Ovis aries: one gene and its partners. The protein of the gene in region 1 purifies or fractionates together with the protein of each later gene. This does not show direct contact. Links are inferred from orthologs where the notes say so. Each region holds a gene or a part of one and is shown on either strand. Other genes may lie near its edges.

Region 1 (4,110 bases):
AGAAGCTTTGCCACTGTCCCACACTGTTCCTTCCCAAAGGCAGGCCTTCTAGCAGCCTGCAAGGCCCTCTGTCAACTGCCACCCCCACCCCCATTGCATTGGTTTGGTCCCCAGGGCCTTCAACGCTCCAGCTCTGAACTTTGGCACTGATTCTTTCCTCGGATTGGAACATCCACCCATAAATCCCGAAAGATCTCTCCTATATCTTTCTTTGCTAAAAATCTCCCCCTTGAGCTCTTTTCCCCCATCTCATTGGATGTAAACTCAAAAAACAAAGAAACAGGTCCCTTTTAACCTGTTCACAGCTATGTTCCCAAGACCTAAAATTGCGTCTGGTAACCAAGAGGTGCTCACTAAGTTCTGTGCATTTGCTTTGCCAGGGGTCTCTCTGGGTGTTTTACCTATCTAATATACTCTCCACACCGTGTGAGGTAGGTACTATTATTCCCAATCTCATTTCATGAGAAAATAATACACGTGACAAACAGAAAAGAAATACTTGGGCACGTCTAGACACCCAGACCCAAGGACCTTTTTATGAGGTGGTTTTGCCCGAGCCAACCTTCCTCTTGAAGCCTTTCAGTTTCTGCGAGAGCTCTCCACGCTCCTGCTTAGGCGGGAGCGGGGTTTATTGTCCAGCAGCCCACAGACTAACTTATCCTTCATTCCCGGTTTTCCTCTCTGTAACCCATTCCTGCCTTAGTCCTGGGTGGACTGTCTTTCTTCACCCAACACCATTAGTGAATAAACCTCTTGAGGGAAGAGTCGCCGCCCGCGCATGGAATTTGTTAGGGTTTAACAGTTCACCTGAACGCAGCTTACTTTGAAATTTTAATATAGTATTATTCACATCGCCCACCGTTACTCACAATTGTGCCCATGAAATTAAGCTCCCTCTGCGATGCCCTCCGAGCCACCAAGCGGAAAGGGAGGGGTTCAGACTGTGCCACGTAAGGCCAGTGAAGCCACTAGGCTCCCCTTACTAAGCTCTGGGGCGTGTACTTCCTCTCTGACGCTTTTGAGACATCATTCCCCTACCATAAGGAGCCTTTTTAAATACTCAGTCATGTTGGTTTAATAAGGGAATTTGTACGGTGCTACCAAATTACGTTGTACGACGGTCTGGACCAGAAGTCTTCTTTTATCTCTCCCTTTGAACTACATGGCGCTGCCACCTTGAGCAGAAGTGAATTATGGGAGGGCGCCATTTCGTTCGAGAGGGCGGGTATTTCCGGATCCGGCGTGGGCGGTTCTCTCTTTTCCTCTGCAGGGCCGCGGTGGAAGCGGTTGTGCGGGTCGCCTCTCTGAGTTATCCAGTTCCATCCTTGTCGCTCCGGCGACACCCGCACTCTCCGTCGCCATGACTGAACAGATGACCCTTCGTGGCACCCTCAAGGGCCACAACGGCTGGGTGACCCAGATCGCTACCACTCCCCAGTTCCCGGACATGATATTGTCCGCCTCTCGAGGTACGGGCTGAGGTGCTGGATTAAGGGGCAGGGGTCGTTGCGCGCGTCACATGGTTGGGCCGGTGGGCTGTGAGTTGACCTGTGCCTAGGCCTCATCGCGGATGAACCGGTGATGCGTCCCCGACTTGGCGAGCCCCGAAACAGCTGGCTGCCGGGAGGGTTGCAAGGCTGGGGCCTTTCTAATCGCTACCTCTCAAACCCGTGTATGTATCTGTGGGCCCAGGAGCCTTCGGGTCGGGCGGCGCCGTGATGATCCCAACATGCCATCTGAGTGCCTATGCTGAAACCCAGAGGCTGTTTCTGAGCTGCTGCCCGGACCCTCTGCTCATTAAAAAGTGGACTCCAAGGCGGACCTCGTGTCTAGTCTCTCGGCTATTTCGGGGCAGCCCTTTCTTCCCCCTTTTTTTTTCCTTCTCATTCTCTCTGTACCTGACTGCATTTGGAGACTTCTTGGCGATTGCTTTTGCGTTCACGCTATTTAAAAATAGTTCATCTGAGGCTACAATCATGTATGGCACTTACTAGGAAAGTTTATTCAGTGGAACACATTGCAGTGAAAGCATCCAGTCCTTAGCGCCTAAAGTGGATTTTCTATTGCTAGTATTTCTTGCATCCTTTAGCAGTAGTTTCAGGAGGCCCACAGCTACTCTTCCATATCCAGCCTGCTGTGTGCATGCATTCTGGAAGTGAAGTCACTCAGTCGTCTCCGACTTTTTGCAGCCCCATGGACTGTAGCCTACCAGGCTCCTCAGTTCTTGGGATTTTCCCAAGCAAGGGTACTGTAGTGGGTTGCCATTTCCTTCTCCAGGAGATCTTCCCTACCCAGGGATTCAACCCAGGTCTCCTGCATTGCAGGCAAATGCTTTACCATCTGAGCTACTAGGGAAGCCCAATAAATAGATGTGGAATCGTTTTAGATTTTCGAAAGGGGCATCCATAACCTGGTAAAGTTTCACACACCTGAGTTAAATTCTCAGGGTGCAACTTAGCTCTGCTTGACTCTTGACTAAAGTTACTTGGACTTGGCTAATAACTACTCTCAGCCTTTAGGTAGTTTCCCTACCCCTAAATGCCCTTGGTTTATGATCCAGAAGGTCAGATGGTGAGCCGTGGGGTTTTTTCACTGGGTCTTTTTTTTTGTTTGTTTTGTTTTAACCTGCCCTTAGATAAGACCATCATTATGTGGAAGCTGACCAGAGATGAGACCAACTATGGTATCCCACAGCGTGCTCTTCGGGGTCACTCCCACTTTGTTAGTGATGTGGTCATTTCCTCAGATGGCCAGTTTGCCCTCTCAGGCTCCTGGGATGGAACCCTTCGCCTTTGGGATCTCACAACGCAAGTAGCTGCTCTGGGGCACTGGGGGAAAGCTGGGTAGAAAGCAGGTAGATACCATCAGGTTTCCCAGGGTAGTGATTGGGTACTTGAGTGGGAACTGTAAGGCACAGTACCTGGAGAAGATATTTGTGGTGGTTCGGCCTCCCTCCCCGTTGCTTTTAATTAGATACACAGAATTGCTGAAGAGTGGTCTGTTTTAGCAGTTTTATCAGATACTGCACTTGGGACTAGACAACATGTTTGAACATACTGTATATTGGGAGCTCAGTCTTGGGTGGTCAGGCATAATGGAGGATCCTGGTGATGACAGATGACATTGTCAGCCAATCCCCACATGGGAGTGAGGACATGTCCTGCAATTCTGAAGGGATTCTCTGGCATATTCTCGGCCAAGGGCCTGCCGTTTATCAAAGCCATGTCCAGGGTGGTGTGGGTAACGCAGCTCCATTGGGTGAGGAATTGGGCCAGGGAAACAGCCTGACTGGAAGAATGTTTGCAGTCTTTCTAGAGAGTAACCAAGTCCTCCTTCTCAGGGGCACCACCACTCGCCGATTTGTAGGCCATACCAAAGATGTGCTGAGTGTGGCCTTCTCTTCTGACAACCGGCAAATTGTCTCTGGCTCCCGAGACAAAACCATCAAACTATGGAATACTCTGGGTGTATGCAAATATACTGTCCAGGTAAAGTAAAGGCACATGCAGGGAGCATATGTTGAACATTTCCCCCATCCTTCTTAACTGGTGCTTTTATATGGTGATTTTAAGCCTCGTCTGGAACCTAAAGGGATTCTATCTTATCTTAAAGGTTTGGGTTCTGGAAGTGTGAATACAGGTTGTCAACATACTGAATATATATCCCACATAACTGAGCGGGGAGGGTGGGGTCTCGAGTTTCATAAGACGAGACAGTTTCTCCTTATTTCCTTTCCATCCTCTGCAGGATGAAAGCCATTCAGAGTGGGTGTCTTGTGTCCGCTTCTCGCCCAACAGCAGCAATCCCATTATTGTTTCCTGTGGCTGGGACAAGCTGGTCAAGGTGAGCTTGGAGCCAGGGCGTGAGGCCTTTACCAACCAGAATGTGTTCCCACTACCTCCCAGTTGGTCATAATCAACTTTGAATCAGCTTTGTCCCTTAACTGACCGTAAGTGGCCAAGATTAATAATTCTTGGACTTTTTTGTCACTGATAGAATGGAAATTGGCTCTCCTATCCAGGGATGCCTTTTAAGCATGGTGCCATGCCTTTTTTTGACCTTGATAGATCCAGAGCCCAGGTTCTTCACCTTTGACCCACAATTTTAGGT
Region 2 (3,641 bases), on another chromosome or scaffold:
GTAACAAATAAAGGTACTACTACTAAAACAAGCATAAATACCAGGCTATAAATTTTAGCTAAGTCTCACATATGATACTTTTCCAGAAAATTACTTATATGATACAAAATAGATTCTGAATAGCAATGAAATTCAGTGTCAACTAACACAAACTAATTTTCAAAACATTTATATTATCCAACAGATCTGAAAATGACCTCAGGAGGTACATATGCTGTTTATGTATCTGTTCAGAAACTATCACCAAAATCTTCTCACTGTATCAAGACACCCAATAAGACAAGTTACTAGGTTTAAAAAGCCCCCAGATCTCATAATCTTTCCCTTCACAGAGAGGGACTTACAATCGAAGTCCAGGCAAAGGAAGAAAGGATGATAAAAGAAATGTGATAAAAGACGAGAAGGAATGTGACAGAAAGATAAAGTATTAAAGGAAGAAAATTGCCCAGATTTCTGAAAGTTAGTCCTATGATCATCACTGGGCTGTTACAAGGTTAGTATTATAAACTGCTGCTTGACCAATGACTTATATAAAAATAAAGGCTTGGCAGTAGTCACTTCTTAGAAGTAAGATGGAAATCAAGATTTGGGTTTGTAGTCAACAGGCTCTAGTTCATCTCCAACATCTACATTTTTATAAGGAAGTATCTGTGTATTATTTCTGTGACTAAAAATTAGTAACTATCTACGTTGGTCAAATATATGGATAAAACTATACACAAATAGACTTGAGTAACAAGGAAAATCATACTAAATCTGTATCTCCAAAACCACACATACATCTCCTTGTAAGCAAGAATGACTTGACTGTCATTCTTGGGTTTCTTATTGCAAATTTACCTCTTCTGCCAAGAAAGCAAAGCAGATAAAAACATCAAGTGACAATAAAGGAATACCATAAACCCACATAACGTATTTTTAAGGTAAACATCTGCAAACACTTTTTGTTGTTACTGAAAACTGTTTTTAGTCTATCATATAACCAAGATGTCTATTTCATTTAACTGCTTAAAGCAAAATTCACCCCTTCAAAGAAAAGTGAAATCAACAGATACATATTTCTACAAAGTAACTTTCTAATCATAAGAAATCTATCTCCTCATAAGGGAAGTATAAACTGTCATTTGTATTAATGGAATTATTTTCAAGAAAAAAAAAAACTTTACTAGCTATAGTAGAAGAAAAAGAAATATACTAATCTCAGGTTTGCTAATTAATAAAAAGCCATGTAACCCTAGTAAGATAACAATCCCCCTCAACTTTCAGTTTCTTCATCTGTAAAATGAATAAAACGACACTATAACAAAGGTCTTTCCAGACTTAAACATCACTATCTCTATGTGTATATGGTAATTAATTTTTTATTAACAGGATGGAGGTTAGAGGACAGTGTGTGTTTTAAGGCTCATTGAACTTCTACATATATGTCCTAGCAATTACCTGAATTTTGTTCTTATTACTGTATCAAACTAACAGTCATTTATAAGAGCACAAATAATCTTTTGTTTATAATGAATCCTTCATTCTTACAATATGAAGAGTTCTCATTTGAAACTTCATAGAACAATTCACCCAGGGATCGAACCCAGGTCTCCTGCATTGTAGAGACACTTTACCGTCTGAGCCACCAGGGAAGTCTTTATGAATGTGTATATACAGTAAAAATTTCCAAACATTTAAAAGTGACCTTCAGGGAATTCTCTGGTGGTCTCAGTGGTTAGGACTTGGCACTATCAGTGCTATGGGCCCAAGTTCAATACCTGATTGGGGAACTAAGATTCTACAAGCTTCCTAGTGTGAACAACAACAAAGATCTTCCAATGTTTAAACCAAACGTGTCAGTTAAAATTGAGTACAAAATCTATTAGACAGTGGTATATATGAATGCTTCTAGAATCTACTGAGTTTTTTTTTTTTTTTCCAATACTGGAAGGCTTGTTTCTTCAGTGAAGCATGTTTCAGAAAAACCTTATAAAAAAGAATTAAGTTCCTAAAAGCTATTTTGGAAAAACATACCCCACATGTGGTCTCCTTGCCAAAAAGAACCAAGTAAGAGAATTCTCATTCTGGCAAGAAAAAAAAAATTACTGAACAGAAATAACTGAACACAAAAAACAACATAGGAGGCTCACAAGGCAGAGAAATAATACATGTGAACTACTAAATAAATCTAAACAACTAAATAAATCTGAGCCCCTTCTCCTTTGGTTACTTACACTCCAGCAAAACTCATATTATATACCAAATTACTGAGATTACCAGTTGATAATCTCAACTGAGATTCTGGAGTTCTTAACAATTTATTCAGAATACTATGGTTTAGGTGTAGGCTTTGGAATCAAACTGCCTGGACTCAAATCTTGGCTCTGCAAGCTACTGGCTACATGCTTTTGGACATGATATATAACATTTTTATTTCTCAAATTTCTTCTTTTAAATAGACACAATACTGTATCTACAGGGTTATGAAAATTAATAGTGATATAACAAACCAAGGCCTTAAAACAGAACTTTAGACATGACTCAGTAATGAACGGGCTTCCATGGTGGCTCAGACAGTAAAGAATCCACCCACAATGTAGAAGAGCTGGGTTCGATCCCTGGGTTGGGACGATCCCCTGGAGGAGGGCATGGCAACCCACTCCAGTATTCTTGCCTGGAGAATCCCCATGGACAGAGGAGCCTGACGGGCTACAGTCCTTGGGGTTGCAAGGAGTTGGACATGACTGAGTGACTCAGCACAGCATAGTTTGTGGAAATCAAGTCAATCCTTAAAAACGATAAATAACTCACTCTCCCAAGTTTTATTACTCAAACCCGTTAACATTTCTACCATCAAAAAACTCATTCTACAAAACATTATTTAACACATTAAATGGTACCTAGAAACCAGATTTTATATTGTTACCACAAAATTTTTTCTGTTCTCGTTTTTATTAAAAGAAAAAAAAAAAAGTCAATATATACTGGTGTATAATCTCAGTCCCAAATTCTTTTCATATGCATTATCAACTCTGAGGTAAAAGTGTGTTGATTAATTGTTAACATACACTTTTTTTGGGGGGGGGGGGTGTGGGACCTTTTTATTATGTTAGAAAATAAGCATTGCTATTAACATACTGACTGTAAGAACTACCAGAAATTGTGTACAATAAATTCCAGCTATCATATTTTACCTTACCGATTTTTTTGGAATGGTCGACCCATATTTACAGCGGCAGCGGCAGCAGCAGCGGCAGCGGCGGCGGCAGCATTTGTTTTATAAGATCCTGGTGAATTAAAGCCATTCACAAAACTACCATTGGGAAAGGGAGCCTAAAAGAAAATTTTAATGTTTAAATTGATTTGGGGTATTAAATATACTTATCACCATTTAAAGCCTATAAAGTAACCACCATCAATACAAAACAAAATAAAACAAGAACTCTAACTCTGATTTCTTCAAATTTCAGCTTCAGTGAAAAACCATATATTCTCTAAGGATCTCACTTACCAGTGGTGTTTCAAAGTAAGGTGCGGGATTTGGAGACCAAGACTGAGGCACAATACTATAGACAGAGTACTGTTGGTGAGGATTATATACAGGCTGCATAAAGACCGGTGAGGCATACTGTGCTTGAGTTTGAATGGGCTGACTATAC
Region 3 (4,316 bases), on another chromosome or scaffold:
GTATTTTCTCGTGACTTGAACCGAAAGTTAAAAGGTGACTTTTAAATCGCACATCACTCCTGATCTTACCCACGATTAATGACTAGTGTGTATGGGAAGAGCGGCGGAATGGAGGACCGCTATCGGGTGCAGAGCGCCGGGAAGGAACCGTGGGGTACGGGAGCCCGAGCGTCCGGGGTTCGGCCCAACAGCAGTTTGCCCGGTGGGGTCAGAATACTCGCGCTCCCGGGAAGGGGATGTCTCCCGGGGGCGGTTACACAGTGAGGCTTGTTTGGCTCGCAGCAGGGCGCTCCCGGGGGAGCGGTTGCGCAGTGGAGGACGCCTGGGAGGCGCGCAGTGAGCAGGATGCTCCCGGGCCCAGGCCGGCGCGTGTACGTGTGTGTGCACGGTGGGGAGGTGCAGGGCGTGTGCACGGCGCGGGCGGGACGCGCGCCAGTACGGCCGCCGAGCTCTGCTGCAATACAAGGCCAGCGCCGCCGAGTGAAAATACCGCGCAAAACCCTGGCTAGGGTGCCGCGGGGGGCCGGCTGGGGGAACCAAGCGGACGCGCACGGCCGGGCCCTCACCTCGCGGCTGAGCTCGCTAATGCGAAGTCGCAGCACCCTCAGACGAGGAAGCAAGCCGCGTGAGTTTCCACGCACCCCAGGGAGACCGCGAGCCCCAGGGACTCGCACGCGCCCGCGCCCGACAACGCGGAGCGCGTACCCGATCGCACCCTGGCGCGCTCCCCGCGCGGTCTGTGGAAAGACAGCTCGGGCGGGTATTAAGGGGAGGGGAGAAGGGGGTGTGGCTTGGCTGGAACTAGCCAATGGGCCGTGGAGGGGCGCGCGGGGGCGGAGCTCGTATTCAGAGCGCCGATTGGCCAGTTGGCCCTCCGGTATGCAGATACGGTGGAGTCACGTGCCAGGGGCCGGGACGACTTCCTGTTGGAGGCCAAGGCGGGGCGGGGAAGGGGGCGCGAGCGCCCCGTCTGGCTGAAGCGGGGGGAGGGGGGTTCTTGTCAGTTAGAGCAACAAGATGGCCGCGGTGGCAGCTCCGCACCTCAGCGCGACGGCCCCTGGAGCCGCAGCCGCCGCCGCCGGCCCCGCCGCCCCGCAGCCCTGAGCGTCGCCCCGGCCGCCCCCACCGCCCCTGACAGGGCCGTCCCCGCGCCCGCCGCGCTCCCGCCGCAGCCGCCGCCGCGGGCCCGCCCGAGCCGGAGGCGGAGAGAGCGGAGCCGGCCGAGCGCAGAGCGCCGAGGTCAGCCGCCGCCGCCTCGGATCGCGGGCCGCGCCGGAGCCGCCGTCCCGCCTGCGGGCGCGAGGAGGAGGGCGCGTCGCGGCGTCGCCGGGGCCGGACCTGGACCCGCCGGGACGCGCCGCCGCCCACCCGCCCGCGCCGCCGCCGCCGCCGCCGCCCGCGCCGGGAGTTGAGCCCGCGGCGCCGGCGCTGAGCGGGCCCCCACCGCCCGAGCGCCCCGCAGGCCTCAGGGCGGCCGCCGGAGTGGTCTTTGCCGCCGTCGCCAGGCCCGCGTCGCGGGAGCCCCTCCGAGGAGCCGCCGCCGCCGCCGGGGACGGAGCCCAGGTGAGCGCGGGCCGGGCCTCCGAGTCGCCGCAGCCGGCGGAGCTGTTGGCGTCGCCTTTGTTCGGCTGGGCCCGGAGCGCGAGGGGTCGCCGCGGGTCCCGGCGGGAAGGATGCGCAGCGCGGGGCGGCGGGAGGAACTGCTGGCTGCGCGGGGCCCGGGTGCGGGCGCGCGCGGGGCGAGAGGCTCGCGGTGCCCGGTGCGATCCGCACGGCAATTGCGTGAGTGGTGTGCGTAAAACGATGCTTTGGTGGAATTGGTTCTCCGGGAGCAGTCACCCGCGCGGGTTTTGCATTTCTGATGGCATGCACGAACCCGGGCGTTTTCGGTGTGGGGCCTCTCCCGCCGTTGTTTGGAGGGGGGGGGGGTGGTCAGAGCAAGCGCGGGCGTGCTTCTGCTAGCATGGAGGGGCCCCTCGGCCTCCCGCGGATCTGGAATCAGGTGGGCTGCTCGCGGCGCTGCAGGCTGCCGGGCGATGCGCACGAGGGACGGGAGCCGAACCGCAGCTGCCCAGCTCTGGGAGCGCGGAACCGAAGCGCCTCGGGGGCCACCTCCGCTCGTGCGTCGCCTCGTCTGCACCGTTTTCTCGTGGATGAGATTCGTTAATGGATTCGTGTCTGTTAAATGTGCAGATGTGGATCCAGGGGTTCCCTGCGCGTTAACTCGGTGGAGAATCTTTCGCTTGCAGGTTACACGCAGTTTTGGGAATCTCACGGAAGATGCAGGATTGCTGCCTCCATATCGCGGGGCGGGGGCGGAGGAGCCGCAGATCCCGGCCGCAGCTCTAGCGGTGTTGGGCTCTCGACTGTCTCAGGGATTCAGCGAAATGAGTGCAACTGTCTCGAACCTCTACCTCTGTCAGATCAAACCTCCATTTGAGTGGTCTGCTCGGTTGTGTTTAGGCGTGAACTGCAGATTCTGAACTCAAAATGGTGCTCTGTAGATGTCCAACTTAAGCGTATTTAAGGAGTTAGTTGCAAGTTGCAGGCGTCTGGCTGGTTTAATCCATTGTGTTGCTGAGGCTCATGTTTTCTCCTGAATCCGGTGTTCACCGCGGTGTCCTGCGGTGTAGGTGGTCAGTTTGATGATGGCTGTGTAGAGACTGCTATGTCTCTGAGTGTAATTTGACCCCGCAGGAGGATTATTTTATGCAAGTTATTTCCTACATTTAGAATTGTGTAACTATGGGGATGAGTTGAGACACTGAAAATGTGGCTTGGGTGATCTTAGAAAACAGCGGTGGCCAGTTTGAAATGTGTAGGGGTTGCAACCATTCTGTGCATGGACTCCATACTTCCTTCAATAGTATGTGAAAGAATAAAGGATAAAACTTAGCTCCAGACCAGATGAACTTGGTTGGCAGAGGGCAACTTGAAGAAATTTATTCCAGAATCACGGAAGTGGTGAAGGTCTTTGAACACCTTTCAGTGTGGCACACCTAAGGATGCTTTGTTGGGAGAAGTGATGCAAAATGAGGTTTTAAGAACAACTAGCCCAGTTATATTATCCGAATTAATTTTATTGTTGGTGGTAAACAGATGATAATTATCTGATTAGTTATTACTTCGTTCACCGATACTGAGTTTTCTCCTACAGAAAGTTTTTAATATTTGTGTTTTCATAGGAATAGAGGTTTTAGAATCTTTTTGTCTTTCTCACATTGGATCAATAGAAATTGATAGTCCAGAAAGTGGTGATAGTAAAAGTATTGTTTCAGTTAAATTATACTTATGGTGATGTAGAATAATTTCTTCAAGCTAGCGCTAGTACTGTGTGAAGAAGTAGAAAGGCTACGAGTCCCAGATATATGTGTGTGTGTATGTATGTATGTGTGTATTCATGTATGTATATGTTCAGACCTGATGTTATTATGTGGATCTACTTTGAAAAGCCCTGTTCTTATCTTTCATACTTATTGTTCAAATCAAAGACCTTATGGTCTTGTACATCTGATTTACTATTAAGATATGGAATTAAATAAAAGTTGATACTGAGGCAATAATAAGACTTAATCCTAACTATTTTGTCCTGGTTCTAGCATTTAAATATTTTAGTAGTAACTTGGGTTACAGGTAAGTGTTGAGTTTAGGCTTTCCTCCTTACAGTGTTTATTGTTGTTGCTGTTTTTCAAGTGGCATATGTTGTAACACTTTGACAAAGATTATTTTGTAACAGGTTTATGTTTATCCTTAGTTGGCTTAGGAGTTTTGGAACAAATGGTTGCCTGAGAGTGCTGATTATGAGGGAAAGTAGAGCAAACTGTTTCATTTGACTCCCAGTGATTACAATATAACTGAACCATGGGTAGGGGGGATATAGGAAACTTTAAATTACAGTATTTCTCACCTCCTCCACCTTTTTGTTAAACAGCCGGCTTTACTGAGATAAATGTGTGCTTTTCCAAATGCTGTCATCTGGCTCACTTCCAAAACCATGCTGGAGGAGGAGGAGGTCAGGGCTGGAAGAGGGGCAGCCTTTTTCCTTAGTGAAGAGAGCTTTCAGTTGGAAAGAAATGTAAGATAAAATTCCTACAGTACTAGCTGAGAATGGGTGTTTGCATTACTTCCCAAACTCCAAATGGGGGTGATAAGGTCCTGAATGTAAACTTACTATTGGTTGAGTCAAGAATGTGATGCTAATTTTAAATCTAAGAGAGAGATTACTAGTGAAAATCTATTTCTCTGTTATTTGATTTGAGCACATAGAATGTCTGTGACATATAACTTCTTTAACAACCTAACATTTAGAGAATTAG

Evidence for each region.
Region 2: the proteins of RACK1 (region 1) and LARP4 purify together in Homo sapiens (affinity purification with mass spectrometry; 3 studies listed by BioGRID and IntAct, counting the BioPlex papers as one, with this or other methods). This does not show direct contact. The link is inferred for Ovis aries from reciprocal best matches to the Homo sapiens genes RACK1 and LARP4.
Region 3: the proteins of RACK1 (region 1) and TNRC6C purify together in Homo sapiens (affinity purification with mass spectrometry; 3 studies listed by BioGRID and IntAct, counting the BioPlex papers as one, with this or other methods). This does not show direct contact. The link is inferred for Ovis aries from reciprocal best matches to the Homo sapiens genes RACK1 and TNRC6C.

Annotation. Positions count from the first base shown.
Region 1 is NC_056058.1:38,114,246-38,118,355, reverse strand, and holds the start of RACK1 (small ribosomal subunit protein RACK1), read left to right. Parts: upstream 1-1,294; 5' UTR 1,295-1,360; coding exon 1,361-1,469; intron 1,470-1,709; exon of another isoform or gene 1,710-1,777; intron 1,778-2,635; coding exon 2,636-2,807; intron 2,808-3,100; exon of another isoform or gene 3,101-3,179; intron 3,180-3,340; coding exon 3,341-3,488; intron 3,489-3,747; coding exon 3,748-3,843; intron 3,844-4,108; coding exon 4,109-4,110. UniProt on the Homo sapiens protein: Scaffolding protein involved in the recruitment, assembly and/or regulation of a variety of signaling molecules. Interacts with a wide variety of proteins and plays a role in many cellular processes.
Region 2 is NC_056056.1:135,862,517-135,866,157, forward strand, and holds part of LARP4 (la-related protein 4), read right to left. Parts: coding exon 3,494-3,641; intron 3,316-3,493; coding exon 3,182-3,315; intron 1-3,181. UniProt on the Homo sapiens protein: RNA binding protein that binds to the poly-A tract of mRNA molecules. Associates with the 40S ribosomal subunit and with polysomes. Plays a role in the regulation of mRNA translation.
Region 3 is NC_056064.1:53,493,898-53,498,213, reverse strand, and holds the start of TNRC6C (trinucleotide repeat-containing gene 6C protein), read left to right. Parts: upstream 1-1,428; 5' UTR 1,429-1,563; intron 1,564-1,994; exon of another isoform or gene 1,995-4,316. UniProt on the Homo sapiens protein: Plays a role in RNA-mediated gene silencing by micro-RNAs (miRNAs). Required for miRNA-dependent translational repression of complementary mRNAs by argonaute family proteins.